7 linked regions of the Xenopus tropicalis genome follow. The protein of the gene in region 1 interacts with the protein of each later gene in a pairwise test. Links are inferred from orthologs where the notes say so. Each region holds a gene or a part of one and is shown on either strand. Other genes may lie near its edges.

Region 1 (4,849 bases):
GTATCAAACTAACAGAGGACACCTGTCCTGCTCCAGAGCCTACATAGACTGTGACTCCCCCCCGGCACCTAATTAAGTTCATCTTTGATCTGTATTTGGTTAGCAAAGACCTCCTCTAGTATTCTGATATCTCCCATGGCCATGTACAATTCTCTCAAAAGTAGAAGCACAGCACAAGCACTCTTAATTCCCCTGAATACATTGATGGGTTAAAATACAGTCCTAAGAAGAGCTAGGTCATGTAGAAAGCCCGTCTCAAATATATTTTAGATATAGCAACTTACATTATAACTTTTTGGCAACGCACAAGGTAACTGAGCAATTGGATTACAGGGTTTAAAACTCATTATAAAATTGCTAAAATTAATATAAAATAAAACACTACACTACATAAATTGGTATACTTACTATACAGGTGGATTGTATAGTCTTTTACAGACAGTGAATTGCTTAAATGGGATCTCTTATCCAGAAACCCATTATACAGAATGCTCTGAATGATGAGAAGGCCACCTCTCATAGACTGCACTTTAAGCAAATAATTCTAATTTTTAAAAGTGATTTATTCATTCTCTGTAATAATCAAACAGTGCCTTGTACTTGATGGTACCTAAGCTGTGTGAATCCATATTGGAAGCAAAACAATCCTTTTGGATTTATTTGACATTTAAATGATTTTTAGCAGGCTTGAGGTGTGGAGATTCAAATTACAGAAAGATCCCTTATCTGGAAAACCTCAAATCCCAAGCATTTTAGATAAAAGATTCTATGCTGGTACAACAAACTAGGCTTCTGTGCCATAGGTGAAGGGGTTAATGAGTATTTATGCTGATGAATAGAACAATATTGTGTTACTGTGCAGTAAGCAGTACCTGGAGCAGATTTTAGGGACAAACATCTGAAAAACACAGGTGTGACTTTTAGTTGGGAAAACACACATGTTTCCTATTTACTAAGAGGATGTTACATCTTCCTATTTCTGAAAACAATTTGAGGAGAACATTACTCAGGTTCTGCGTTACTCTCGCCAAAAGAGAACAATGTATACTGCTTACTTCCCGCTGTATAAAACTGCACATATATGTCCTATGTTGGTAAAAAGTTATAACCTAGTGCAGCTGGCAGGGGATTCTGGGAGTTATAGATTCAGTAACAGTAGGTTAATGGTGCCTTAGTTAAAGCTATTTATATTGTATCACATTCACTACACAGAACACTAAAAAAGAAATAAAATGGCATGTATTGCTTGGCATGGCACAATACTTTCCAATTGATTTCTTACGGTAGAATGAGCTTTTTGTCATTGTGTCAGTATATGAATTACTAAGACCTGCGTGCAGTTTCTCTATATCCATATTAGCAATGGGCAGAACCGGTTTAAGTTGTACATAGACAGTGCAGTGATGCTGTCGCAACTTGGAAGGATCTGTGAGTGCTAAAGTTTTGGAGAGAGTTTGTGGTCAGTACTGTGTTGCTAAGCCAGCCCCCAGCTCACATTACACACTATTTATATCCTCTCTTAGCTGTTCCCCCATTAAAGCAGCTCCTTGGGACCACCTTCTGTTGGCTTTAACCTCTCCTACTCTTGACATCTGAGCAGCTCTGCAAAAGCTCATCTTGGTCAGAGCAAACTGTTTAAGCACAGGAGACTGGCCACCAGGCTGAAGACCTGGATTATCTGATCTGTACTGAAAGTGTGCCGTTACTGTTTGGGAAAAATATCATTTTACAGTGAAAAGTGACAGCGTTGTGGAGTTTAATCCTGCCAGAATCTCAAGCCTGCAACTTGAAACTTGTATGCCATGGAACACACACTGTTTGGCTGCCTGCGCAGCCCCCATGCCACCTCTCAGGGCTTACACCCCTTTGCCCAGTCTTCTCTTGCCCTCCATGGAAGATCCGACCACATGTCCTATCCTGATTTATCCTCTTCTTCGTCCTCTTGCATATTAACTGGCTATCCCAATGAGGAGGGCATGTTTGGGAGCCAGCATCACAGAGGACATCATCACCATCATCACCATCATCATCATCACCAGCAACAACAGCACCAGACCTTGCAATCAAATTGGCACATTCCTCAGATGTCATCTCCTCCTGCCTCCACCAGACATAGCCTTTGCCTTCAGCAGGAATCTGGACCTCCAGATCTAAGTGGCAGCCCCTCTATTTTGTGTTCAAACACATCCAGCCTGGGCACTAACAGCTCAACGGGTGCAGCTTGTGTGACAGGGGACTATGGCAGACAGACCCTCTCCCCGGCAGAAGCAGAAAAGAGGACTGGCAAAAGAAAAAGTGACAGTTCAGGTAAGGATATTTGTGTTTACAATGTCTGAGCATGCAGCAAAAAGGAAATATATATTAGCTGGTAATTGTGATGCCTTGTATTGGATTAGCACTGCATTGCAGAAAGTGGCACAGCAGTGGTGCAAACCTAAGCAACTGTATGCCTAGGATATGCCATTAGCATCCATGCATACGGCAGCTTCTTCTGACAGTTCAAATTGAGCAGAGAGGGGTTTTTCTGTTGCTCAAAGCTTTGTGTTCGTACTCACTGGCAAATGCATTTAGCAGTGTAAAAAGTACTAGTTAGACACTTGCTAACTAGCATGTATACAATATTTCAGACATGTGCAGCTTGCTAACACTATAGGAATGTTATAAACGCTATGCAAGACATATTATAAGTAAAAAGTTTCTATTTAAACAGGAAATACTTGTATATTACATTACAATACGAACGGGCAGAAATAGTTCCCTCTTTTCAAGTCTTTCCTGGTGTATTCCTATGTAACAATCCTGTCAGTGTCAAAAGAATATCAAATTCCTTTAATAAGCAAGATTGAATCCAAGTATCATTTTTTCATTTGAAATTACAATCTATTTATTGACACAATCCTTCAGAAACCCGTGCTGCACTCCATCCTTATTCAGCCTGATCCAGTATCACTGCAGTATTATAACAAGAAATGGAGATCACTTGTTGACTCCTGTTTCTCTCAGCAGCCAAACTATTACAAATGCAATTTTATGGCAGATAAAAAGACAATTGGCACATTTAGACTGCCCATTCCCCCTTCCTGCAGGAATAAAATAGAGAGATTTCATCCCAGGGAGGGCAGCCTTTTTTGCCCGTCCCAGCAACTGCAGAAAGGTGTTAATTATATTATCAGCTAACACCTCCTCTGGGAAAGCCATATACACAGTCTGCATCAAATTAAGAGTTTAATTAACAAAGTGCAAAGTGATGGGTAATATTTGCTTTAATTCAGTCACATAAGCCACTTCAGTGAAATCAGTTCTTTTGAGCCTATTACATCACTTTCACTGATCAGAATCTCTGGCAGACCATAATAATATATACATTTTTAATCCGCTGCATATCAATAGTGATATGAATAACTACCAATCAATATCTAGAACTGAAAAAGTCAAATGATTCATAACAGACACCTTCCGTCATACCTGAAATACCCCAAACAGACATGAACACTAAAATCCTCTTTTCCATTTCCATTTAAAATGGCAAATTCTAGTAAAAGAAATACAATATACGTGATACTTGCATATCAGTAGCATAAGAAATGAACATAGTATATCACACTGAATATAAACATAACTGAAATATGTATTATATGTTCCAGTTCATTGGTGATTTCGATGCTTATCATATATATATTTATATATATAAAGTGGAGTAGCTTTATCCTGCTATTAGATGATGGCGAGAGATAAGTGCAACTATATTAACTCACTAATCAGACAAGTGGTCAGTGGAATAAGTGAAAGCGAAGTCATAATTGGAGATGACCTGCTTACCATTCCTAATTAAGTCTTATGAGATATTCTGATTGGGATGAATGGTTATTCAATAATTATAAGACATGAATGACAAATGAGTAATTCGTGACATATGTTTGACCTTATTTTTTCTTCCAGGCTTGGGGCTTTAAACAAGACAACTTTTCAAAAGTTATTATTCCAGTGTTTAATTAGTCTGTCTAGGCTTGCAATGCTTTTAAACCTCTCCCCCCCCTTCTGTTTTGTCTGTTTAGGGAAGATAACATTGGCAAGCGTTTAAAGAAAATAAATTACCAGGAAATCTATACCTAATCACAGAGCAAAAATGACAAACTAGCTTCATTAACCACGGTGTATCCAATAACTGGGTCCTGGCGAATTTGAGAAACTGCTGTTCTTTCTTTTAGAGTCACTTCACAAACAATTGTTTTAAGGGCATTTGGTTTCTGGAGAAATGAAAGGATGGCTTTGTGAAACAGTATACCTATCCAAATTATACAATCTAGAGTCAAAGTTAATGGCCCGGACCGTGTCCTATCCATTATATGTGCATATTTCGACATAGAAAAATCTAAACTATGGGCGTCTAGGGGTTGCTGAACTGCAATCATCAGCCTTTAGCCTTAGGCTGTGACGAGAATGCTGTAGTTTATCAAGAGCAGGAGGGCCCCAGGTTGGATGTCAGTCCTGTAACACTATTTTCCTGTATCTTTTAAGCCTCGTCTATCACTCAAGTTACCTTTTGTGGGGTGGGGGGGGGGGGGATTTGATGAGAATTTCACAAGCGATGTTAGAAAGCTGGTACTTATAATTAAGCCTACTTTGGCTAGTGATACCCTTCAGCAGACCACCAGAATAGCACCTAGAGAAAGTGCAATTAGAATAATCCTTATCATACCCTTTCAGCCATGTGCGCACTTCTGACTGTTGTGCATTCTGTCTGCAGAATCATGTACAATTAGGTTAGTGGTCTAACATTACAAGCTACAATCAAAGGGCTTTCCTCTGGGACCAATAAGGAAATTAGTACTTTGCCCTTCACAATATT
Region 2 (4,066 bases), on another chromosome or scaffold:
CTTCTCTCTGATTTAACAGTATATACGTTGTGCCATTCCAGCTTTCATTTGTATTTTACCTCACAAAGGGGATTTACAGCTCTGAAAGCTTGCACTGTATTTTTATTGTTAGCCAATATATGTATCATTTCTGCAATGCTTTTATATTTATTTATTATTTTTGCCACCAGCTAACATGGTAGTACAGTTTTTGTTTTGTTATTTCCCTCTCATTGTTAAAACTAAGTTATCACAAACAGCACTAAAACAAAACCATGATTTTGCTACTTCACACAAAATGACACTGTTGAGAAGCTGAGCATAGGGGGTCATCCCAAGTTTCAAACAGAAAATGAGGTTTGTCTTTCATATAAGCTGAGGCTACAGGGCTGATAGTTAAATTATTCTGATGCTAACTGCACTGGTTTCTAAGCAGCTATGTATTAATAATCAGTATTAATCAGCCATATATTGCGATATTTATTTTCTATATATACAGTATATATAGAACATCAAAACATATTGTACACTTCTTTAGTTAGGCTTTAGATCTCCTTTAAAAGATTTCATTTTTTGTTGTTACTGTTTAAAATATTAAACTTGTTACACAATTTTCTAATTTCCCCTGTTATGCTGGGTAAGTTGCATCTGCTCTTTCTGCAAAAAATAAAAACCCACAAGGAAATATCATAGTTTAGAATAGATCCTATATTAGTCTAAGCCTTAACTAATCAGTCGAAGTCAGTGGAAGAGCAAAATATTAAAACAAACAGAATTCCACAAGAATCAGATATCCACATAAAGATGTTCCACATAATTACAGGAGCAGCAAACATCTGCAGCATTATGTAACCAGCTATGTTTTCTCCTGAAGTGACATCTTTTGGTGGATTTATAAGAGAGTACTATATACTCTGCTTCTAAGAAATCTCTGCCGATTCTGGAGTGGCATACACAGAAAGAGTATGGTCAGTACAGCCACAGTTGCATTGTTTGTGTCCCTTTTGTCACTTATATATAAAAGTTCAATGTTACTGTAAATATAAAAATAAACCATATATATGCAATCCTAACAATGCACTTCACTTTACTATAAAACATTTAAGCTGCACAAAAACATATTAAACATTTTACCTGGACCAAATCAAACTTATCGTCAACTTTAGAGCTGTACTCCACCCGAAACATATTAGATAAGTTTCCAGCACTGTAGTACAACAAGATCTTCAAACCTTTGTATCCAAAGGCTACCTCTCTGGAAAAAAAAAATTGCGTTAACCAACCTTTCCATACAATAGCCGGATGCTTAAAGGTTTGTGAAGCCTTTAATTTTTTCTATATTTTTTTATGAGTGTGACCTAAAACATCATGTGATTTTCAAACAGGTCCTAAAAGTTGATAAAGAAACCCTAGTGAAACAAAAATTTATTATATTTGTTCATGTATTGATTAAAAAATATATATGATTCAATAACATATCTGCTTGTGGCAAAAATAAGGGAATTGTGCTCCCGGTATTTGATGTGACCCACTTGTGCAGCAATAACTGCAACTAAATGTTTGCGGTAATCGTTGAGCACATCAGCTCTGAGGAATTTTAGCCCATTCATCCATACAGAACAGCTTCAGCTCTTCAATGTTGGTGGGTTTTCTCACATGAACTTTGAGAACCACTATACCTAATATTTGCAAGGTAAAGATGGCGTTCACGTTAATTTTTATCATGATGTTGTTTTTAATTATTCATTATTTTACATTGTTTCACAGCATCATGGTCTGCATAATACAAGAAGTTATTCCTTAAAATAACCCCTGACCCTTTAAAAAAAAAAGTAAGGCACCAACAAAGAAGTGGTCTAGACATGCAACACCATTTGTGGCAGTCTGCACCAGCCCAAGGCCACTACAAGCTTACAGCAGTGAAGATCTGTGCCTCTTAATATGTCCTCATAAGCTGAACATCTTTTTTGCTGATTCACAGCACATACTCTGGTCTACTATCATTTACTTCTGAGAATATCTAAAATCTGCTTCTCCACATCAGCTCATACCACAATGAACTACTGGTATGCTAAAGACAGCCTTACAAGACCCAAGATGGGGACTGCCTGTGGGCTTTGAACTAGCGATGCACCAAATCCAGGATTCGGTCAAGATTTGGCCTTTTCCGGCAGGATTTAGATTCGGCCGAATCCATGCCTCTGGCTGAACCAAACTGAAAAATCACATGACTTTTTGTCACACAAACACGGAAGTTGAAAATTTTTCCCAGATTTAACCCTTCTAAAACCCAATTAGCATATGCTAATTAGGATTCAGATTCGGATCAGTATTCGGCTGAATCCTTTACAAAGGGTTTGGGGGTTCAGCCAAATCGAAAAAAAGTGGATTTGGTGCATCCCTAGTTTGAATGCACAAACAGTTCCTGTGATAGAGCTGCTGTGCCTGTGTGTTGTTTTTTTAGGCATTTAGCTAAATCTTGTAGATAAAGTTGCAAATCTTTTACTCTGCCAGAAGAAATTAAATAGGATAACTGTATTTCCTATGAAGGTGCAAATACCGGTACTCCGCTGGATAACAACTTTATGGAACATATGATGTGTAGGTATGCTTTATGGTAACTAAGTGATAATGCAGAAAAATATACTTACTCGTCACCAAAAATCTGGTGGCTGTACTCTGGGTTAAATGTCATGCTCTCATCTTCGATGTCTTCTGGAAAGCGTACTGAACAGGAAACAAAACAGCAGATATAATCAGGACATGAAACACCACCTGTACATCTGGGAACAATAAAACACTGATTGAGGTTTTCAGGATCAAAACAAAAGAATTTTCTAGGGTTTAACCAAATTGGAAATAGAGGCATCAGTTTTGATTTTCTTGCAAGGTTGCACATCAAAGTTTATTAAACCTCGATAGTTTACAGAAAGACAATTTTAGAGCTGTTATAGTAAATCTAGGATTTTCCTGCACAAAACTGTGATGCAGGACCTAAAAGTAGCATCTCTTTAATTTTATACTATTTTTTCAGGGCCCTTAAAACAAATGAATATGAATAACTTTTTTAGCATGAATTATTTCCAGCTATTGTGGACAGGGATGCATTGACAGAAATTAGTGGACTATAGCACAGTACCAATTTTTTAGGCTTTATAATGTGGTTGATAGTTGAAGTTCTTTCACAGTAGAGATTTAAGTGACTTCTGGAATATTGTATAGCATTTTCCAATTTACCATTTGCCAAAACTCACATGCAGTTATTACATTTGGAACATTTTTGTGTATATATATATATATATATATATATATATATATATATACACACATATACCTTTTGCTTAGCACAGCCACAGCTATATGTTTCAAGATTTCTGTTCTGTATGGTTAATAATAAATTACCCCCTGTGGTTCAGGTGAGCCAACACATAGACCAGGAATGGTTCCAAATTAGGCCTGATACTTACCAAAGCACAAGGAAAGGATTGATCACTGGTACCAATTTGTTAGGTACTTCCCAGTGATTGTAATCACTAACCTCACTCACCAGGCCACCTCTCCTCTTTGCTGAAAAACGCTCCAGCCAGGGTACAATTCTATTGAGTATTGAATGATCACTTGTAACAACTCTGGGCTATGTATATGCACACCACAGTAAGGCTAATGTCCCACGGAAAGATTAGTTGCTGCGTTTTTTAAAAAGCGAGTTCCAGCGACAAGTCGCTCGTTTTGTCTCTACATAGAGAAGAATATAAATCACCAGTACCTAAACCGACAATACTACTTCAAATCGTTTATAGCTCCGAATCGCTATGAGACCCTTTTTTGACTGATTTTACAAAGAAAGCATTGTCATTCATAGCTACTGGAAACGCTGAAAGTAAATTAATGTAATTTCTAATTGTGGGATATATGACAGCTGGATTTGTGGGAAATAGAATTGCTCAGTTGTAGAAATCTCTAGTAATTTTTGTTAGGAAAAGACGAGCAACACGCTTTTTAAAAATCGCAGTGACTATATATCCCTGTGGGACATTAGCCTAAGTGTTTGGATTTTACTTTCCAAGATCTGATTTTACTCAACTGT
Region 3 (4,066 bases), on another chromosome or scaffold:
CAACCAACGGTACTACGAAAATCATATACACCAGAGGACTATTTTAGAAAATTTGAACCCCGCCTATACTCCCTTGATTCTAGTAATGATGATGTAGACTCACTGACTGATGATGAAATTCTAACAAAGTACCAGTTAGGTATGCTGCATTTTAGTACTCAGTATGATCTGCTGCACAACTATCTAAATGTCAGGGTGATAGAAGCCAGAGACTTGCCACCGCCAATATCTTATGATGGTTCAAGACAGGACATGGCTCATTCAAATCCATATGTAAAGATCTGTCTATTACCAGACCAAAAAAACTCAAAGCAAACAGGCGTCAAACGTAAAACCCAGAACCCAGTATTTGAGGAGAGGTACACCTTTGAAATCCAATTTTTAGAAGCCCAAAGAAGAACTCTGCTGTTAACCATAGTGGATTTTGATAAATTTTCACGACATTGTGTTATTGGAAAAGTTGCAATGCCACTGAATGAAGTTGACCTTGTTAAAGGAGGACACTGGTGGAAAGCCATCATTCCAAGCTCTCAGGTAAACTTTGTCCAATTATAATTATTGCTTTTCATTCTTGCAACAAATACAGTACCTTGTTATGAATGCAGAATGTTATTAAGGGTAAATGCATGATTGTAATTGTACAGGTATGGGACCCGTTATCCAGAATGCTCGGGACCTGGGGTTTTCCGTAATTCGGATCTTCTACCTTAAATCTGCTAAAAAAATTAATTAAATCGTATTTAAACCCAATAGGATTGTTTTGGCTCCAATAAGGATTAATTATATCTTAGTTGGGATCAAGTACAAGGTACTTTTTTATTATTACAGAGAAAAAGGAAACCATTTTTAAAAATGTGAATTATTTGATTAAAATGGAGTCTATTTGAGATGGCCTTTCCATAATTCGGAACTTAGACTTTGGATCCACATAAGTCATTTCTGGAAGCAGAGATATTTGGTAGCAAAACTCCGCAGGGGCTCATAAAGACTTTGGTCTCTATCATGGAATTTATAAAGGCCACACCTTCTTTAGGGGGATTGTAATAAAAGCGGTGGTTAAAATGGCATCTTTGCAAATATTTAGCGCTGCTCGCAATGTAATACTAAACTAAACATGTACTACATTGCAAATATTAAATACCTGCTTGAAGATGGCGTGAATCTTAACACAAAATAGGTTCAAATGTTTTATAACATACACTGCGCATTTATGCAAACAAAAAAAATTCCGCAATTGCAAACTTACAGTTGCAAGACATGCAAAGGGTTCACAAATGGTATTTTTCTGTTGCACAAAGGCAACATTTAATGCAAAGCTAAAATTTGTTAAAGTTTTTTAAGTTACCGACATATGTTACATTCCCGAAGATCCTTCTTTAACAATTAAGTAAATAAATGCTACAAATTGGAATCTTGAAATTACCATTTAGCATTTGTTCCATTTTAGACTTGATCTGGTCTTGTCTTTGTGTAGGCTACTCAGGTGCATTAACACCTTGGGGCAGATTTAGTAAGACACGAAAGCTCCTTGCGCATTTTCCCGATTTTTTTTTTCACGCCCGCGTGACTTTTTCGTATGCTTGTGCGAAAAATTCGGAAAGTTTCTGCCACTGTTTACAATCGTTCAGTACAAAAATTTGGTGGTTTTCGCATCGCCAATACGATATTATCGTGACTAATACGATTTTTTGTAAGCATTTTCGTGATATTTGGGATCTTCAAAAATTATCGTATCCAATCCAAATTTTTCCCATTCGGGATTCAAACATGTTTTAATGAATCGGCCCCCTTGGCTACATTTAATATGTTTCTTGGATACATTTAACATATTTTCGCCTATGTTTAACATATTTCTGTCCACCATTTTTCCACCATTGAGAAAAATATAGGAAAAATGTGATGTTATCAATATGCTTTACAGTATGCAGAAATGTGTTTGCATTGCTGTATTGGCTTTACACCCAACTAAGCCTTATGCATTTGCTGTAGACTCCTTTTTCTGTTTTGTTGTACCACAAACATAATGCATAATCTGCTTTGCTTTTTCAACTATGGCTTCACTGTCTTACCAGACAGATTTATGGGATGCCTTGTACACTGTTGGCAACTACTTTGATCATTTATGGTCATAAAGCCGCAAAGGAATACATTTTTTACCTCCATTATCTACCTGTGATGGAAGAATGAATATTTGTTATGGTGGTACCACACAGCTCCTTAATGCATAATAAAGGTATGAGATCCCTTATCCGGAAACCTGTTATCCAGAAAGCTCCAAATTACGGAAAGCCCATCTCCCATAGACTCCATTTTAATCAAATAATTCTGAATTTTAAAACTGATTGTACAAGTAATAAAACAGTACCTTATAATTGATCCCAACTAAGATATAAATAATTCTTATTGGATGCAAAACAATCCCATTGAGTTTAATTAATGTTTATTTGATTTTTTAGTAGACTTTAGGTGTGGAGATCCAAATTACAGAAAGACCCCTTATCCGGAATACCCTTGATCCCATTCATTCTGGATAATGGGTCCTATACCTGTACAGTAAATATTTCAGCTGTATGTTGAGGGGCATATTTATTATAGTCCATAAGCTTTATCTAGAGTGGGGTTTAATAACTAGTGTTCATGACACTATAGTCAGAAATAACATCAGACCCTCTGAGAATTATAAAGATGATAATGTTATATGGATAAAAAAATGGACATAGACTCACTTAAACAATATGGAAGTGTAATATTGTGCCACCCCAAGGGCTCCCCACACCACTAGATTAGGGGCCCCAGCCACTCGACCACTGCCATCCCCCCAGTGTGCATAGCTCATATTTACCTAGGCATGAGCGGGGGAGGGAGGGTAGTGGGGAGAAAAAAAAATACAACAATTGGTAAATCTTGTTTGAATACATGAAAGAAACTCTAACTGAAAATATCATTTTAATAATGGACCCAATAAAACAAACCTTTGTTTTCCTACTTCCTATAGTGTTTCTTATAGCCTTCATCCAACCTGCATTTTTAAATATAACATATGAAATATAATTTTTTTAGGAAAATAAATTGTTAATGTCTTATCTGTACCAATGTACTTTTTCTTATTGACTTTCAAGGCATGCATTGATTGTAGATTTGCTAATGGTACTGCAAGGCTAAATAAAGAGAGGGGGCAGGCCTGAGTGACTACATCTTTAGAACTCTTAGCAGCAGCAATACACTTACCTTATCGATAATTTAGGGACTAAAATTCTAGATTGAATGATACACATTATGACAGAAAGCAGGAGGAAACCATATCCAGTAGATATGTCCCAGCTATAACAAGAGCATAAAACAATCCTTCTGTTCGAAACTCCAGGCAAGTCAGTTCCTTGCCATTATTGCCATTTCTTTTACTTTGATCAGTGTAATGGTGGCATTCTTCCCTTCTTTATTACATTCCATTTTCTCATTGGTCTGAACATTGTACAACATGTACAGTCTATCAGCTAACAGCATTGAGTTCAGGCAATTAATTTTTAAACAATACCTTGTGGTTTTCTGTATTCAGGAAATTAGTCTTTTCTAATATAGGATACGTTCAGTGGACTATTCTTTAAGTGATGAACAAAAGGTATAATATAGCAATAATATGCTAAAAAGGTGCTGTATTGGATGAATCCCATATATCTCACAAATGGGGCAAGGTTCTATTAATATCAACTTTTGCATTAATAAGGTCCTATTATTATTATAAACAAGCATTTATAAAGCACCAATATATTCCACAGCACTTTACATTAGGAAGGTGTAAACAGTGTTGGACTAGCCCACCAAGATACCAGGAAACTCCTGGTGGGGCCAGCTGTTATTGGGCCCTCCTGTTCCTAACCATTTGGCCTACTTCATGGTCATTCCCTATTTATGAATGAGAAGAAAGAGAGGAGAAAAAGAGGAGAAATAGATGAAAGGATAGATGCTAGCATGTAAATAAAAGAGACTTGGAGAATTAAGTGTTTGAGTGAGGAAAGAAGGAAATATTGTTTGGAGAGTGGGCCTAGGGTCTATGGTTTTCTGGTGG
Region 4 (4,066 bases), on another chromosome or scaffold:
ATTTCTCCAGCATATCCTCCCGCTTCCTTGCAAAGGCTCAGCCACCAGCACTCGGGTTTGTGTTCCTTTCCTCTATTCTTTCAGTTGCTCTTGTGAATTAAGAAAGGAGGTTTACAGCTCCAAAATGACTGGTTGATCCAAATATCAAAATGAAGATGTGGTGGCATTAAAGCAGATCTCTGTCCCAATCCAGTTTTTTTTTTTTTTTATTTTATTATTATTTCTGCATAATTAGAGAAAATGTAGTTTTAAGCAATGTTACACTATACATTGCACATCCCCATCAGTTACTTATAACTGTACAGCAGTATTTGTTTATCCCTTTCTGTGTTTTTGGCCTGATTCTTAACAGTTACAGGTGTCAGGACCCCTTCAGGCCTTATAATCAGCTTTTGTGTGCCAGAGCCAGGAGTGCCAAGCATGTAGCAGCCAAACAGATGATGCTTTTCATAGCAGTTACAATACACATACATTAAACATTTTCATTTCAAGTTATCTTGGAATGTTGCTTAGAATCACACTTTTCTTTATTATGCAAACACTTAGGGGCACATTTACTAACCCACGAACGGGCCGAATGCGTCCGATTGCGTTTTTTTCGTAATGATCGGTAATTTTGCGATTTTTTTTTCGGCGTCTTTACGATTTTTGTGTAAAAACGCGAGTTTTTCGGCGTCTTTACGATTTTTGCGTAAAAACGCGAGTTTTTCGTAGCCATTACGAAAGTTGTGCAAAGTCGCGATTTTTTCGTAGCGTTAAAACTTGCGCGAAACGTCGCGCCTTTTAAGTTTTAACGCTACGAAAAAGGTGCGACTTTGCGCGCAAGTGTTAACGCTACAAAAAATCGCGACTTTGCGCAACTTTCGTAATGGCTACGAAAAACTCGCGTTTTTACGCAAAAATCGCAAAGACGCCGAAAAACTCGCGTTTTTACGCAAAAATCGTAAAGACGCCGAAAAAATCGCAAAAAAATACGAAAAAGTCGCAAAATGTTCGTTTCCAATTCGGATTCGAAATCGTGTCTTAGTAAATCAGCCCCTTAGAATTACTTTCATTTTTGGGTGGAGGACTCTTTTAAAACCAGAGAAGTGTTTTATGTATATTAGAAAGTTTGAAAGATGCACTTGTACTTGCCTATAATATAATATTTATACAGCAGGGAAACCAAGTATTGAACACGTCAACATTTTTCCCAGGAAAGATTTCTAATGGGGCTATTGACATGAAATTTATACCACATGTCAATAACAACCCAAGTAATCCACACATTCAAAGAAATAAAAAATCACACCTGAGCAATGCATGTGACTAGTTTCTCCATACAGGAGACGCCTTGAAGCTGTCATTACCAACAAAGGCTTTCCTACGAAGTATTAAATATATTTCAGAAAGCGTGTTCAATGCTTTATCCTTGTGTCATTCCACTTTATTACACATAACTTAATTTATGGATTTATTTGTTTTGATTTCTTTGTATGTGTGGATTACTTGGGTTATTGCCAATATCTGTTGTGAATTTCATGTCAGTAGCCCCAACAGAAATTTATTTACCGAGAAAAAGGATGTGTTCAATACTTGTTTTATGCTTATAAATCTGTGGTGTGTGTGTTTGTACACTATAGTTTACTTTTGACTTTTGTCTCTCCCTCCAGCAGGCATCAATCTATTGAACCCTCAGTGCCTGATTCAGAGTTCAGCCCTGCATTATTTCAGCCATCACAGGAGCTTCCCACACTGATTAATGGAACTGACCATCAGCCCAAAAGTGCCATTATGTTGGATCACGATTTTGCCAGCCCTCAAAAATTTAACTACTTCCAAAGGAAGAGAAAGCACCTCCAAGAATATGGGCATATAGGTAAAGGCGGGCCTTTTTCCTCATTGATGCAAATACGGAAAACACAGTCAGTCCATGATCTTGTACATGAAGGTAATGTCAAGACTGCTTCATGAACAGTCACACTTTCATTAATTATGGGGTGAAACTAGAAGTGATTTTATCCACTAGCACATTAGCGGGGAATAACTTCAGAATTCCTTTCATAGTCATGACTGGTAGACAGAGTTCAGTTATATAGAACTGGGATAAAATGCCCCTCTTGTCACATTGCCTCCAATGTACTTACACTCTCTAATCTATTAAATTAATACTTCATTTAAATTCTCCTTCAGGTGATAAAACAGCAGCCAATGGAGGTGTTGTAAAAATGCGTTCCCAAGTACAGACAGCAGCTGAGAGAGAAGAGAAGGCCATTCGTCGTCGAACTTTGCCATCCAACCTAATAAAAGTGGAAAATATTACCTCTGGTACACCCCATGCAAAGGATGGAAAATCTGCTAAAGGCAGATCCTACATGAATCCAACCACAAGCTCCATGGCTAAAATTTCTCGGAGTATGTCGGTGGGAGAAAATCTAGATATTGGAGATAATCAGGACACGTCTTTGAGTTCAGATGGAAAAGGCAATTGTGAATCCGAGACAGGGGCTGTCACCAGTCTCATAGAGACAGAGAAGAACAGGCAAACCGCTAAGGAGACTGTCATTATCAAACCACATTTACAGCCTGTCACAAACTGTTCCTCAACCAAGACTTTTCAGGCCAAGAATCGAGCACACCTCACTCTAGATATTGCTAAACCATTGCCAGACCGACCCCTCCTGTCCTTTAATAAAGGCAAAGGGCAACTGGAGATGGAGTCTCCAAGATCACCAGCAAATAGCTGCAAAGTCAAAAATTCCTTCACAGAGTTAACTTGTAGGAATGAGAACCATTCATCTGGTGCTGTAGAAAAAATCAGTCCATCGGAGGACTATGGCTGTGGTAAAAGCAAAGATGATGATGTTAAGGCAAACTCTAAACCAAATCTATCTCAAGAAGCAGCGGAGTTATTTTCTGATCTGTTAAAACCCATTCACAGAGGCAGAGCTTTTACTATTGGCCATACTCCCGACCATCACTCAGGACTTTGTTCTGAACCCATCAGACCTAGATCTCCCTCTCTTAATGCAGCACCAACACAAAATTCAGGTGGGCATAAGCACCCACCACTGGTGGTTCCACCCTTTCTGTCTCCTATCTGTGTGAGTCACCTTCTAGCTCCATCTCATCTTTCTCCATCCAGTCTCTGGCCTATCCCGCTTTCTCCTCGTTTCATAAGTCAAGCCCAGAATGGTGAGACCTTTGTTTCTTGCCTTTTTCTTTCATATGTTGCATGTATGTGCATGGGAGTGCTGCATGGTGTAGTTTAATTCAAAGTAGGCACAAGTGTTGAGCTTAATACATACATGCATAACATGTTCTATTCATTCCTATTTCTCAAATGGTGAATTCTAATTTTCACCCATTGAAAAATAAGCTTCTAAATATCCCCTAAGAATTAATAGAACATGGGTGAGTTTTTGTGTATTAATCTCTAAACTCACATTTTGATACATCCGCCTCTACGTGTGTAACTGGAAAATACCCCTATCAACAGATCTCTTGTATATTTATTTGTTTCGAAGGAAGATTATAGCAATGAGTTTTTGGCAGGCAAATACACTTTATTAATGGTCTGCCAGGCGGCACAATATTCCTGCTGAATTGTGCTTAGGACAAGGATCAACATTGCTGTGCTAGATACTGGGATAGCACAATATCCCCTCCTTATCTTGTGATAAACATATACCATTCCATTACTGGCTGTGTGGCAAACCCCCCAAACAATGTAACACCTAGTCATGGAGATGTCATGTAAGGGACACATCTCCTCACAGGAAGGCTGTAGGATATACCATAGCTTGTAGTCATCCTGGAAATAACTCTGACAAGCCTGACAAGACATTTACAGAGAGTACATTATTCCATACAGTATTACATTTTTCTTACATTTTTGTGTGTACCAGACCACTGGTCAGTTTGTCTTCAGCTATCAACAGTTCTTAGCATCAGAGAACAAAAGTCTCTCTAAATACATGTACTTTCATGCCTGTTGTATAAAAGTTTGTTTCCTACATGTGAGTGTGTGGTCTCTCTCTAAGGTTAATGGTTATGATGCTTCTTTATTTCAGCATCGTCTGTGAGT
Region 5 (4,828 bases), on another chromosome or scaffold:
TCGCACTATCCTTTCAGTCCTGTGACCAGAGCCTGATCTGGGTGGTGGGCATTGCCCCAAGAGTTCTTGCTCAGAGGAAGCACTATTTGTGCTACCAGAACTGGCGGCACTACCTGTGCTAGTAGACCTGCTGAGCCCAGGAGCCCTTCCATTAGGTGGGTGTCCCGTGTGAGCCCAGTGAGTGGGCCTGTGCTCATTGTTATTATTCACATTGATTGGTATGATTTCATGAGTCCGTTCCTGCTTAATGTGCCTTGGTACAGTTTTAGGTCCAGGCTTTTTTACCATGGATGGGCCTTCTGTGTACTCATTCCTGCTCCGAAGAGCTTTGATCTGATCCAAGGACAAGATAGCCGCTGGCTGAACTTCTCGTTCATATTCCAACCGTTGCCGGCTGTCCAAAGATGGCTGCTGTATCACAACTAATGAACCACCAATGCCATGTTGACTTTGTAGCTCCATCTGTAGTGATCTTGATTTCTGGCATTCAACGTGAACTTGGCATGCATCTGAAAACCTGCCGATCAAAACACACAACAAAAGATAAATAATTTAGAACGGAGTTTTGGAGATAATATAAGATACAAATTCAAATCATCACAGCAAAAAATGTCAGATGACAGTTACAAGATAAACTACAAGCAAGGCAGATCACTGCATTTCCCCCCCATATCTAATATACTCCCATTACAATTTAATAAATCATGTTTTGCCATGTATGAAAGTCATTCTGCTTCTGCATGATGCAACTGGTTCAAGAAAAACACAAAGCCTCCAGATACCGTAGCACTTCAAGAAGTCACAGAATGGATTTCTCGTTTAGCTACTATACATCTGAACAAAGTGATTACTTGGTAATGATAACCTATCCTATGACTGGAAATGATATATTTCCAAAAGAGAAGACTTTTACCCCAGTAATAACTTTAAAAGAAATTCACCATACTAAAAGGGCTTCAGTCTTTCAGCGTATAATTCTGATAAAGGGGCTCTATCTTAATTTATTCTTGTTTAAAGCAAATTTAACTCCCAGAGTTTTGCCATGGAGAAATAAATAAATGTGATGCCTCCCTGTCAAATAATATTTACCTAAGGGCAGTTCTTGGTGACCAAAACAAAGGAAGAAAGGAGAGAAATAAGAGACAAACTAACTAACTAATCAGTCTGTGCTGCAAGTTCTGACCTCCTACTTATCTGTTCCAGTGATTCCCTAGGCACAAGTTTTTTAAGGCAAGCTGAGAAAATGATCTTTAAAGCTGAATATATATTCCCAAGCCCAGATGAGTGGCAGATGCTAAAAAGAGGGGTGATACCAGCTGCACCCAACCTCCAGAGCCAGGCAGTGCAAAGGTGCATGCCCACACTGCCCTGGCACACTAACACATCCTACAGCCCATTGGTGTCACACCTCCAGCTGCACAAGGCAAGCAAGCTAAAACGCTCTCACTGAAGAAAAGAAAGAAAATCGCACGATCTGAGGCTTAGAAAATGCCTATAAAATAACTGTACCGTGTGTGCCAAATGGATAACTAATCGTGCGACAATCGGAAGAGACGGAATGGGCAAATTATGGAGATGGATTGGGGTGGGGAGGGCTACAGAGAGAGAATCCGAATGATCAGAGAGCGAGAGACGGGAAAGGAAGGAAAAAGTTATGAATGAAAAACAAACCGTGACTGTGAGAAGGAGGAGGAGGAGAGGCGCTGATTGCCGCAGGGGGGCGGACTTTCCGCACATTCCAACCGCAGCACCCTTTCCCATCGGCTCCAGCTCGGAGCCCCAGAACAAGGCACCCCTTACGGGTTTCAGCACCCCATACCAGGTGTGCCAGCGTTCCCACATAGAGATTTCTCTGCGAATCTGTTTTATCGCCTCTTCACTGCCCCTACACTCACTCTTCTGGCAGTAAAGTGGCATCGGATCGATTTAACCAATCAAAGAATTAACATAAATAGCCCCTACCCTACACTAGTCCGACTACCTGCACCTACCACTAGGTGTCCCCATCCTGCGTTTGAAAGAAGTAGGGGCACCTAGCTCTAGGTCTGCGTAAACAGTTTATTTACACGTTTCTGTGCCAGGGACACCCAACTCGAATTGAAGCAACTTCAACCCTGCAGGCCCCTACTCTGACCCATGGCCTGCTGATATGTTACACTGCAGCAATATGTAGGCGTAAAGCAGCTGGGGGGTATCAAAACTGCATCCCTCCAGCTGTTGTAGAACAACAACTGCAAGTGTGGGTTGTAGGTGCCATTCTGAGAGCTGCAGTTCAGCACAGCCGCAGGTTGGTTGTGCATCCTTCTGAAAAGATATTACACGATTGGATATTTGTATCCAAGGGGCACATAAGATAGTGGGTCATGGGGCAAATACACTCTATCCCTCACTTGGGCAAGCCTGCTGGCATATTGGGAGTTTCAGTAAAAGATCCTTGCCTTATGGCCTTGCACCAGGAGCAGAGTATTATCCAGATATACAGACACTTACCTCTGTGCAAGCATGCACCAAGCAATAACACGTCCAACTCCAGGCTGCGGCAAATCCGATCGGAACTGGGGGGCTTAAGCATGGGACATGTCTCCAGTAAATCCCCAGGGCTGGCACTACTGTATCTGATTGTAGCAGCTTTCCCTCCGGGGGCCACAGTAATTAGGGCCAGGGTAGTCCTTGGAAACAAATAAATCCACAAACGCCAAGGTGGGCAGGAAAGGCAATTGCACCTCTGTCAGGGGTAGGAGCGATCCAGCAGGCAGGCACCGTAGGCTCCGTGTTGCTGCATGCGATGGGAGGAGGCACAAGGACTACAACACTTTTTCCTTATAATAACTCCTTTATTTCAGCCACAAGTAAACTCCAGCGATTCTTTTCTTATCGCAAAACGCTAACGTTATCAAGAGTCCTTTAAACAGAAAGCCGCGGCCCCACGCATATATTCCTCGGGTCGGTGTGCGAGCGCCGCTTAAATCCTCAGCACGGATAGGAAATCCACATGAGAAGCGATGGGCAGAGAATAAATGGTGATGAATGAGGGTGTCACCCTCGCAGCGATCACTCACAGCTCCACAGGGAACAACCTTCCACGCCTTGCGCTCTCCTGCCTCTGTATGAATGGATTCCTGGAACGCTGGGTTTGTTCCACAGCGGCCTTCTCATTGGCTCTCCGGAATAGTGTAGGGGAAAAAACACCAAACCTTCAGCTGCCGTGGCGGCGCTGATTGGATTAGAAGTGGGAGGGGCGGGGCAGTGGCGGCTGCGGTAGCTCAGAGCGAAATCGCTGCAAGGTGGATTTTAGCGGAGATTTCACGTGCGTCAGGTCGCTGTCACTGTTGTTCACCCGGGCGAAAAATGTGCCCACTTATGGGGTGATGGGTAGGCTTTTAGATTGGAACTCGCCCCAAACAGCCCTGTAATGGCCCTGTCAGCAGTACTTTGCGTGACTTCGGTCATTTACTAACAGCGCAGGGTGGCACTTACAAATCAAGGGACCCAAGGTCTGCAGGAAGGCTGGGGCAATAACTTGAAGGGCAGTCAGTAATAGTACTCGAAGGTTCGTCATCCCTGAATTAATTTTTAATTAATTGTTTTTTTTTTCCCAGAGGCCCCTTGAGATTTTGGGGATCCAGTGCACATAGCATTTTCAAACTCAATAGGCTGTAGTTTGTAATTTAATTTCTATGAATTCTTTATTAGCTCCTGGAGTTTTATTCTCAAGAAACTGTAGCGCAATACCATTATAGATCGGCTTAGTGGCAGCAACGCATTTTGCGCCTCTGTGATAAGGCTGAATAAATGCAAAATTGCAGGAAAGTAGTAAGGGCTGTGTATAAGGTATATAAGGGCCGTGTATAAGGTATATAAGGGCCGTGCATAAGGTATATAAGGGCCGTGTATAAGGTATATAAGGGCCGTGCATAAGGTATATAAGGGCCGTGTATAAGGTATATAAGGGACGTGTATAAGGTATATAAGGGCCGTGTATAAGGTATATAAGGGCCGTGCATAAGGTATATAAGGGCTTTGTATAAGGTATATAAGGGACGTGTATAAGGTATATAAGGGCCGTGTATAAGGTATATAAGGGCTGTGTATAAGGTACATAAGGGCTGTGTATAGGGGCGCAGAGAGTTAATGAGAGGGGCGCGCATAGCTTGCGTGTGTACCCGGGGAGTGTTGGATGCGCAGCTCCGCGCTGATGTGCCTGCACTTGTCTCCTGTGTGATCTTGGCAGCTTCACGTTTATTTCCTTAGGGAAGGAAGAACTGTGACCTGTCCCCCCCAGGGGGGAGCTTGAGTTTCCTGCAAATACACATTCCTTCCTGGGATTTCATAGTAGTAGGTCCGTCCTACCATTGCCACTACCATCCCTCCGCCCATTCCCATTGGCATGACTGCTTTGATGTATGGCCAGGACTGAAAGGGTCAACGGATACAGTCTAACTACATTGTATTTCTAGAATTGTGTGTGTGTGTGTGTGTATGTATGTATGTATATAAATGTATAGCAGTGTTGTTAATGCAATACGGCTGCTTGTTGCAATTTATATAAGGCTAGTTAGTAGCAGTATCTTTCCCAGCAACTGTATTTGGTCATGGAACTAGTTGGTGATTTATAATATCCTTATAGCTTACAATAGGGGGTACATACTTTGTGTTGTATGTATGTATGTATGTATGCGTGTGTGTGTGTATATAGATATATAAAGTGAAATAAACACTTATATATATATATATATATATATGTATCCACACACATTTGTTTGCAGAGAAGCAGCTGTATCCTTTGCATTGTTGTTTGAGTTCCTAGAGACAGACAGACAAGCTTCCC
Region 6 (4,859 bases), on another chromosome or scaffold:
TATTAATATTTAATGAACGGCAGCAGTTTAAATTTAAACATATGGAGTCTTTAGGTGAAATCTGATTGGCTGTTCTTGGCCCCACCCACTTTTCTAAACTTGTAACATGTAGACATCCAGAGAGAAACATGTAAGTCGCCGGCGGGATGGCAGACGCGGCGGCGCGATTTCGCGCAAATCGCCGAAAAAGACTCGCGAGTCTTTTTCGCCGATTTCCGGAAATCGCCCCGCCGCGTCTGCCATCCCGCCGGCGACTTACATGTTCGCCGGTGGGATGGCAGGGGTAGGCAACTCGGGGAGATTAGTCGCCCGCGAACAGGGAGTTTTATCGCGGGCGACTAATCTCCCCCGTGTGCCAGAGCCCTAAACACACGTAGAGACAGTTATCAGTAAATGATCAGTGTCTGTTTTAGTAGCCGTGACAAGTAGCTGATACTAGTAGCTCCGTGTGTCTTCACCCTTAGCCAATCAGAGCTTAAATGAAAGGTACAGATCTGACATGTAACAGGATTCCGGAAGTGTGAGAGAGAGAGAGAAAAAGAGAGATTTCCTGAAGAAGCGTCTCAGTCAAAGCAAGTAACTGCCAACAATGACAGGCGTTTCAAAATGGCTTCTTTCACTTCCCCAGCCAGCACTGCGTTTAGTAAGATACGGTTGCACGTAAAAGACCCAGTTAATTACATTAATTATAATTATACTCTGTTACACCCTTTATTAGCAGAGCTGCCACCCCCCCCCACCCCCCTATCTCTTTGGAAATTATCTGATTTGGAAGGCTCTCCCCCATTTTTCCAAAATCTCACATCTCTCATCAATGTCCTGCAGTGAATTTCACGCGGGTAGAATTTTTCTGCTTCGGCGGCTTTTCTTCACGTGCGCGTGGCGTCACTTCTGGGGGCGTGCGTGACATATTGGGGACATATTCGCCGGTGCGCTGACTGCTCTGCGTATGTCAGTAATAGTGATGAGCGACTTTTTTCGCCAGGCATCAATTCACAGCCAATTTACGTATTTCGCCATTGGCGAATTGTTTTGCGAAACTTCAGAGAAAATTCGCTGCGGCAAAAATTTTTTTGTGGTTGTGTCAAAATAGGAGTGGCTGACAAAAAAGGGCGTGGTCGCTTTAAAATGGGGTGTGGTTGCGGCAAGATAGGCACGGTTGTGTCAAAAGAAAGGCGCGAATGCTTAAAAAAAGGGCATGGTTGCGACAAGATAGGCGCGGTCGTGTCAAAAGAAAGGCGCAGATGCTTAAAAAAAGGGCCCGGTTGCGAAAAAATGGGCGCGCCCGACAAAAAAAAGACGCGGACAACAAAAAAATCACTCGACAAAGACGTTTTGCGAATTTTGCTAACGTTTTGCGAATTTGCCGGTGAAGCGAAACGGATTCGCTCATCACTAGTCAGTAACATTACTGTATATGTGCGGCCATCTTTAGCCCCCCCAAACAAAAAACTCACCCCCCCCACACCACCTACGTTTGGGCAAATGAATAACCTGTCTAGAGATATATTGGTAATATAGATTAGATTGTAAGCTCTATGGGCCAGAGACCTCCTTCCTAATGTATCTTATACCACATTGCACGCAATCTCTGTGTACTTATACTTATTTATTGTACTTATTATAACACTTGCCCTCCCTGTGTGTATAATGTAAGACTGTACTGCGCTGCGCACCCTCCTAGCGCTTTATAAATAAACTTATATATATATATACATGAGTTATGTACGTTATTATATTACAGGGTTACAGGTTTCAGTGTTGCTATCATTCTGCTAACAGTTCCCATTTACATGTATTAGTAATAACCCGGAGCCCCCCAGGCTCCCCTATCCGGCACCCATTACAAGCGATCTACAATTACACGCTGCGTCTCTCTGAATCCGATAGCGAATTCTCCTTACCGTAAATACTGCATTAGCCGCGCACCCTACCGTACTCCCCTCCTCTGTCCCTCCTCCCGCAGGCGGACCCGGAACAAAAGTAGAGGATAAAAAAAGAGTAGCCGTGGCCCTTGGGAGCCGGTGCTGGGGAGGCGATCCAGTTGGACTCTTACAAGCTGGGCTCCTACGTGCCGAACCGAGCCGCCGGCATGGATGGGAATGTGCAGGAGGAGCTGGAGGCGAGTGATACATGTGCTGGGCTGGGGGTCTGTCTGTGCTGCAGGGGAACACACGGAACTATAACTCCCCGCCTGCCCCCGGGAAGCACGACTTGCGCGGCGGTGAGAGTTGTGGTTTCACAACACCCAGAGCTGATATGTTACAGGTGTCAGATCGTATGTGTCAGACATAGTTATATATATATATATATTATACTGAGGCTTAAGCTACACAGGCTGGCAGCCCAGAATCCTGGCTTCTTACTCATGTTTATTTGTATAGTGCTGATATATTCACTGTACAGCACTTACCCAATCCCTGGGCTGTAGAGCTGACAATCAGATGCAAGAACTGTAAGATTGTAATCAGGCAAATATAATAAGCTGGGGGTGGGTAATATCCCAGCATTGGTTACTGTAGGGGTTGGTTATTATCAGGGTATTGTTCTGCCCAGCATTGGTTACTGTAGGGGGTTGGTTATTATCAGGGTATTGTACTGCCCAGCATTGGTTACTGTAGGGGTTGGTTATTATCAGGGTATTGTACTGCCCAGCATTGGTTACTGTAGGGGTTGGTTATTATCAGGGTATTGTACTGCCCAGCATTGGTTACTGTAGGGGTTGGTTATTATCAGGGTATTGTACTGCCCAGCATTGGTTACTGTAGGGGTTGGTTATTATCAGGGTATTGTTCTGCCCAGCATTGGTTACTGTAGGGGTTGGTTATTATCAGGGTATTGTTCTGCCCAGCATTGGTTACTGTAGGGGTTGGTTATTATCAGGGTATTGTACTGCCCAGCATTGGTTACTGTAGGGGTTGGTTATTATCAGGGTATAGTACTGCCCAGCATTGGTTACTGTAGGGGTTGGTTATTATCAGGGTATAGTACTGCCCAGCATTGGTTACTGTAGGGGTTGGTTATTATCAGGGTATTGTACTGCCCAGCATTGGTTACTGTAGGGGTTGGTTATTATCAGGGTATTGTACTGCCCAGCATTGGTTACTGTAGGGGTTGGTTATTATCAGGGTATTGTACTGCCCAGCATTGGTTACTGTAGGGGTTGGTTATTATCAGGGTATTGTACTGCCCAGCATTGGTTACTGTAGGGGTTGGTTATTATCAGGGTATTGTACTGCCCAGCATTGGTTACTGTAGGGGTTGGTTATTATCAGGGTATTGTACTGCCCAGCATTGGTTACTGTAGGGGTTGGTTATTATCAGGGTATTGTACTGCCCAGCATTGGTTACTGTAGGGGTGGGTTATTATCAGGGTATTGTACTGCCCAGCATTGGTTACTGTATGGGTTTGTTACAATCAGGGTATTGTACTGCCCGTTATTATCAGGGTATTGTACTGCCCAGCATTGGTTACTGTAGGGGTTGGTTATTATCAGGGTATTGTACTGCCCAGCATTGGTTACTGTAGGGGTTGGTTATTATCAGGGTATTGTACTGCCCAGCATTGGTTACTGTAGGGGTTGGTTATTATCAGGGTATTGTACTGCCCAGCATTGGTTACTGTAGGGGTTGGTTATTATCAGGGTATAGTACTGCCCAGCATTGGTTACTGTAGGGGTTGGTTATTATCAGGGTATAGTACTGCCCAGCATTGGTTACTGTAGGGGTTGGTTACAATGAGGGTATTGTACTGCCCAGCATTGGTTACTGTAGGGGTTGGTTATTATCAGGGTATTGTACTGCCCAGCATTGGTTACTGTAGGGGTTGGTTACAATCACTGATTGTAACCAACCCCTACAGTAACCAATGCTGGGCAGTACAATACCCTGATTGTCAATCAGGGTATTGTACTGCCCAGCATTGGTTACAGTAGGGGGTTGGTTATTATCAGGGTATTGTACTGCCCAGCATTGGTTACTGTAGGGGTTGGTTACAATCAGGGTATTGTACTGCCCAGCATTGGTTACTGTAGGGGTTGGTTATTATCAGGGTATTGTACTGCCCAGCATTGGTTACTGTAGGGGTTGGTTACAATCAGGGTATTGTACTGCCCAGCAATGGTTACAGTAGGGGGTTGGTTATCATCAGGGTATTGTACTGCCCAGCATTGGTTACTGTAGGGGTTGGTTATTATCAGGGTATTGTACTGCCCAGCATTGGTTACTGTAGGGGTTGGTTATTATCAGGGTATTGTACTGCCCAGCATTGGTTACTGTAGGGGTTGGTTATTATCAGGGTATTGTACTGCCCAGCATTGGTTACTGTAGGGGTTGGTTATTATCAGGGTATTGTACTGCACAGCATTGGTTACTGTAGGGGTTGGTTATTATCAGGGTATTGTACTGCCCAGCATTGGTTACTGTAGGGGTTGGTTACAATCAGGGTATTGTACTGCCCAGCATTGGTTACTGTAGGGCAGTGATCCCCAACCAGTGGCTCGTGGGCAACATGTTGCCCCCCAACCCATTGGATGTGGGGAAGGGAGCAAATGCTCCTTGTGCCTTGGCTATAACTGCCCCTCCAGCTGCCCAGTATGGGAACCACCACCATAGGGAAAGTGCTACCGAGGTTCATGGGTGCTGTTTCTCCAAACCGGCTGTACAGGCCTCCCCTATATGATCCAGCATGGGAGCTGTTTGTGTAAGGAAACACTCAGAGCTCCACATACTGAGCTGTGGTTTTCTTTTGTGACTGCCGTGCCCTGGGTGACATGCAAACAGCCTGTCATGTTTTTGGCACTGGAGCAAATCCAGTTGAAAGCAAATAAACATTGTGGTCACGGCCAGTGCAAACTGCC
Region 7 (4,066 bases), on another chromosome or scaffold:
TTAATGGTTTGGAGAAGTATAGATTTAAACTAGTTACTCACTTTATCCATTAAAAGACTATTCTTTTTTGTCTGTTGAATAGATACCCCCAATGGCCAGTGGACAGAAATCTCATTTAAAATTCATGGTTATACATATTTCATCTGAAGTGATTATCATTATCACATGCAAAGCAAATGCTTTCCTAACTCAAAGGCAAAAATAGTTCCCGGCTTTCCTTATGTGAAACTGTACGTCAAGTAGGCAAAGGGAAACTTAAAATTAACTTTTAGCACAGACCAATTCAATGCCCTTAGCAGTAGTGCTACTCAACAGTATGGAATTTTCTAAGAAATTATATGAAAAAAACCATAATAAAAAGACAAATATTAAGCTTTATACTGAATGCTAAGCTAGGGCCACTGACCTCGGAAAACAGCATTTAAAATTCCAGATTAAAGGGGCAATGAGCTGAAGGGCAAATAATTCAAAACATAAGAAATTACAAAAAAGAAGCCAAATACGAAGTTGCTTATCCCTCATGGTGATATGGTGGGATGTTTGATTTATTACACCCGCTGCCATGAAACCAATATGTTGATTAGGCACCTGGAAATGTAGAATCCATGATGCCCACTTATTAGTATCAGACTTCCTGCAACAAATTCTACATTTCTGGGTGGCTCTTTGGTTGCACTTAAAATGTTAAAGGGGAAGTATAACAAAAAGTCTTTATAGGTGAAGAAAAAAAAATGGTATTTACTGGGAGGTCAAACTGTTAAGACAAATGTGTGTGTATCTTACTTTTACTTTACAAAAAAAAATGCTAAAAATCTAATTATACAGCACAATATGGGCTTCTGAGTTTCTAATAGTTCCCATTTACTCTTGATTATAAGATAATAAAAGTTAAGTTTAACATAAATTTCTGGTTTAACATAACAGCAAGGTGGCTGACAGTTCTTATAAGCAGTATTCTCATACGTGAACTTCCTTGAATCTGTAATTATGTTTTAAACCATCTACCTTAGAGATTACCAGCCACATGGGAAAGCTTTGTAAAGAGTTAAGGCCTCCCTTAAGGGCCCTTACACATGGGCATTTTGCCCTGTGTTCCCCTGCATTCCACCACATATTGTTGCACAAGTGTTTAATAGCCTGGGGGCAGACAATAAATCATCTGGAAATGCTTCCTTATTTATTTAAATGGCAATTGCTTAGACCCACATGTAAAAGGAACAGCCATTTATACATAAGAGATATGGAGTGTTTTGTCCACCATACATTTTACCTGCCCAAACATGCAGCATCCATTGTCCCCTAAGAGAACACGTTTTAAGTGTTACAGAAAGTGAATAACACATTAGTGGAAAGCTAATTAAGTAAGGCTGCCAGAACTCTATATACCTAGTGGAAATCTTCATATGAGCCATATTGCATATAAGTTAATTCTCTTGAAATTATAAATAAGCAAAATGTATACTTCTACAAAGACCCAAATGGTGTTAGCTCTAGTAAAATTCAAAATAAGATGTGCACAATGGTTCGTAACCTTTTTTCCCAACCTCATTACAGGAATCATCTCTGCAGAAATGTAACACCTTTTAACTAAAAGCTATTTAACCCATTTACTAATTGTAATTAGGGGTAATATGCACTGCCTCTCAGTGGCACCACAAGCTAGGAGTATGAGATTGTAATAACAAATATAAAGAAAAGGAAAGTACATCAGCTATAAGCAAATTTTGGGTATGAAAGAAAATACATTGAAGATAGGTATGAAGAGAAATATGCCCTCTTTAAAAGCATATTACAACAAAGCCTTGTGGAATAAGAGAATTATTAATAAGAACACAGTAGCACATTACATGATTAAGCTGTAAGACAAAATCAAGAAGCCAAGAATTGGTCAACTTACTCTTTTACTTAGACAAACAACTGGCCACATACTGCAGCCCAATGTACAGCAACAGCAAAGGCATCCACAAAGTAACCAGCGGACATTAATTGGAAGATTCTTCTTAAGACAACTGTTGACTCTGTTAATACTAGATTTAAATTCTTCAGGTGCTACCTGGAAAGGGGGGAAAATGTTACTAAGTATGAGAACAGTATTAAAGAAAGCAAATTGTTTGTCTTTAAACTTTGTTTTTGACACATACCTTGCCAGTTAAGGAAGAAGGGAATTCTGCTTCAAACTTGTTGCTAAGACCAAAACTAAAGAAAAAAGAAAATCATTAGAGATCATACTGCTGTACTTCAACTAATACATTAAAATGTAAACATTTTAATTGTGGCCAAAATGTAAATACTGAAATCTGATTTCATGATTAAGATCATTACTTCGTCATCAGTGTTTAACTGGTTAACCATCATTTTTGTTATATGTTAAGGGGTAGGGTCATTACAGTTTTCGACCAATATTTTATACCATTTCATTTTTGCAAACCAAAGTGAACAGGGTGGTTATTTTCTGGATATTCAGGCTACCTCAACTTGGCATAAGGGCTCTGGCACGCAGGGAGATTAGTCGCCCGCAACAAATTTCCCCGAAATGCCATCCCACCGGCAGACAACATATTGATTAGATCCATGTGACACATAGCAGATAGAAGACTTTTTAAAAAAAGGGGAGTTGGTAAGCTTAACTACTCTGACAACTTTTCCCAAACTGTGGTGCTGCCTTCCTTTGGTGGTCAAAGTGTGCTTAGTGGGGCCAGCCTGAAAGCCAGTTAGCAACAGATTTGGGTATGCCTGGAAGTACAGCTTAGCGGTCAGTTATATTAATAGGAGGGCCTGGCCAAATACGCCCAACAACCTCTGCACTACAGGAATATGGTATGTCTAGAAACTATATTCTGATCAATAAAGTACAGGTATGGGATCAGTTATCCAGAAACCCGTTATCCAGAAAGTTCCTTATTATAGAAAGGCCATTTCCCATAGACTCCATTATAAGCAAATAATTCTAATTTTTAAAAATGATTTCTTTTTTCTCTTTAATAATAAAACAGTACCTTGTACTTGATCCCAACTAAGATATAATTAATCCTTATTGGAGGGAAAACAATCCTATTGGGTTTATTTAAAGCTTAAATTATTTTTAGTAGACTTAAGATATGGAGATCCAAGGTATGAAAAGACCCCTTATCCGGAAACCCCAGGTCCTGAGTATTCTGGATAACAGGTCCCATACCTGTACTTGCACTGCAGCAAAAATAGAAATGTATTACAAGGATGTACACTAATGTTTGGATGAGAGTCTTTTTTTGTCATCTAAGATATGTTTGATACATTAAGTCTAACAGCACGTCTGCCATTTGGTTGCCACCTGTATGTACTCTTGGGAAGAACAAGTTGAAAGAATGCGAGAAATAATTTGAAATACCTCCTCATTATAGACAATTGAGATAATGGCGCCTATGAGATGATCTTCCCAAGAAAGTATGCAGCATTAAAATGCCATCAGTGCTTTTAGCATAAAAATAATCTATGCACAAGTTTTCGTTAAAGTAAAAAAAAAAAAAAAAATTTATGGCTAGAAATAATATATATATATATATATATATATATATATATAATGAACTTACTGGACCAACCCAAAGGTTTAGCAGCCCTATAACAGTTATATTGTATGCCTTCAAGGTTATCCACAACTATTGAGTGCTATTCTGATATCTACCACTTTAAGCAATACAGGTGTCAGGAAGCTGCTATCTTGCTCCCTTCCCATTGTTCTGCTGATCGGCTGCTGGGAGGGGGTTATATCACTCCAACTTGCAGCTCAGCAGTAAAGTGTGACTGAAGTTTATCAGAGCACAGGTCACATGGCTGTGGCATTCTGGGAAATGAAGAACACCGCTAGCCCTATATGAAAATATCAAAAAAATCTGTGCTTTTAAAAAACAGTTTTCAATGCAGGATTCTGCTGGAGAGGCTCAATTAACTATTGCGTTTTGAAAAAAAACCAAAATTCTATATATATTATATATCTGTTCCATTGACGGCACTCACCACTCCAAAGCCAGACACCGGGTGCTCACCAAAAAATTATCCACATGAGGTCAGTTGAAAGCACTCAAGGCTC

The links.
Region 2: the proteins of meox2 (region 1) and hat1 interact in binary tests that used the Homo sapiens proteins (3 or more experiments, as listed by UniProt). The two-hybrid records come from large-scale screens. The link is inferred for Xenopus tropicalis from reciprocal best matches to the Homo sapiens genes MEOX2 and HAT1.
Region 3: the proteins of meox2 (region 1) and syt17 interact in binary tests that used the Homo sapiens proteins (3 or more experiments, as listed by UniProt). The two-hybrid records come from large-scale screens. The link is inferred for Xenopus tropicalis from reciprocal best matches to the Homo sapiens genes MEOX2 and SYT17.
Region 4: the proteins of meox2 (region 1) and mapkbp1 interact in binary tests that used the Homo sapiens proteins (3 or more experiments, as listed by UniProt). The two-hybrid records come from large-scale screens. The link is inferred for Xenopus tropicalis from reciprocal best matches to the Homo sapiens genes MEOX2 and MAPKBP1.
Region 5: the proteins of meox2 (region 1) and spry1 interact in binary tests that used the Homo sapiens proteins (3 or more experiments, as listed by UniProt). The two-hybrid records come from large-scale screens. The link is inferred for Xenopus tropicalis from reciprocal best matches to the Homo sapiens genes MEOX2 and SPRY1.
Region 6: the proteins of meox2 (region 1) and shfl interact in binary tests that used the Homo sapiens proteins (3 or more experiments, as listed by UniProt). The two-hybrid records come from large-scale screens. The link is inferred for Xenopus tropicalis from reciprocal best matches to the Homo sapiens genes MEOX2 and SHFL.
Region 7: the proteins of meox2 (region 1) and chic2 interact in binary tests that used the Homo sapiens proteins (3 or more experiments, as listed by UniProt). The two-hybrid records come from large-scale screens. The link is inferred for Xenopus tropicalis from reciprocal best matches to the Homo sapiens genes MEOX2 and CHIC2.

Annotation. Positions count from the first base shown.
Region 1 is NC_030682.2:36,890,692-36,895,540, reverse strand, and holds the start of meox2 (homeobox protein MOX-2), read left to right. Parts: upstream 1-1,652; 5' UTR 1,653-1,802; coding exon 1,803-2,307; intron 2,308-4,849. UniProt on the Homo sapiens protein: Mesodermal transcription factor that plays a key role in somitogenesis and somitogenesis and limb muscle differentiation. Required during limb development for normal appendicular muscle formation and for the normal regulation of myogenic genes.
Region 2 is NC_030685.2:67,594,493-67,598,558, forward strand, and holds part of hat1 (histone acetyltransferase type B catalytic subunit), read right to left. Parts: intron 2,707-4,066; coding exon 2,631-2,706; intron 1,235-2,630; coding exon 1,114-1,234; intron 1-1,113. UniProt on the Homo sapiens protein: Histone acetyltransferase that plays a role in different biological processes including cell cycle progression, glucose metabolism, histone production or DNA damage repair. Coordinates histone production and acetylation via H4 promoter binding.
Region 3 is NC_030685.2:32,711,048-32,715,113, reverse strand, and holds part of syt17 (synaptotagmin-17), read left to right. Parts: coding exon 1-534; intron 535-4,066. UniProt on the Homo sapiens protein: Plays a role in dendrite formation by melanocytes.
Region 4 is NC_030684.2:105,031,208-105,035,273, reverse strand, and holds part of mapkbp1 (mitogen-activated protein kinase-binding protein 1), read left to right. Parts: coding exon 1-55; intron 56-1,652; coding exon 1,653-1,930; intron 1,931-2,172; coding exon 2,173-3,030; intron 3,031-4,052; coding exon 4,053-4,066. UniProt on the Homo sapiens protein: Negative regulator of NOD2 function. It down-regulates NOD2-induced processes such as activation of NF-kappa-B signaling, IL8 secretion and antibacterial response. Involved in JNK signaling pathway.
Region 5 is NC_030677.2:65,663,349-65,668,176, forward strand, and holds the start of spry1 (protein sprouty homolog 1), read right to left. Parts: upstream 3,047-4,828; 5' UTR 2,505-3,046; coding exon of another isoform or gene 2,491-2,504; intron 2,471-2,490; exon of another isoform or gene 1,510-2,470; intron 518-1,509; coding exon of another isoform or gene 463-517; coding exon 1-462. UniProt on the Homo sapiens protein: Inhibits fibroblast growth factor (FGF)-induced retinal lens fiber differentiation, probably by inhibiting FGF-mediated phosphorylation of ERK1/2. Inhibits TGFB-induced epithelial-to-mesenchymal transition in lens epithelial cells.
Region 6 is NC_030679.2:136,816,317-136,821,175, reverse strand, and holds the start of shfl (shiftless antiviral inhibitor of ribosomal frameshifting protein homolog), read left to right. Parts: upstream 1-1,979; 5' UTR 1,980-2,092; coding exon 2,093-2,122; intron 2,123-4,859.
Region 7 is NC_030677.2:39,930,408-39,934,473, forward strand, and holds part of chic2 (cysteine-rich hydrophobic domain-containing protein 2), read right to left. Parts: intron 2,197-4,066; coding exon 2,142-2,196; intron 2,054-2,141; coding exon 1,898-2,053; intron 1-1,897.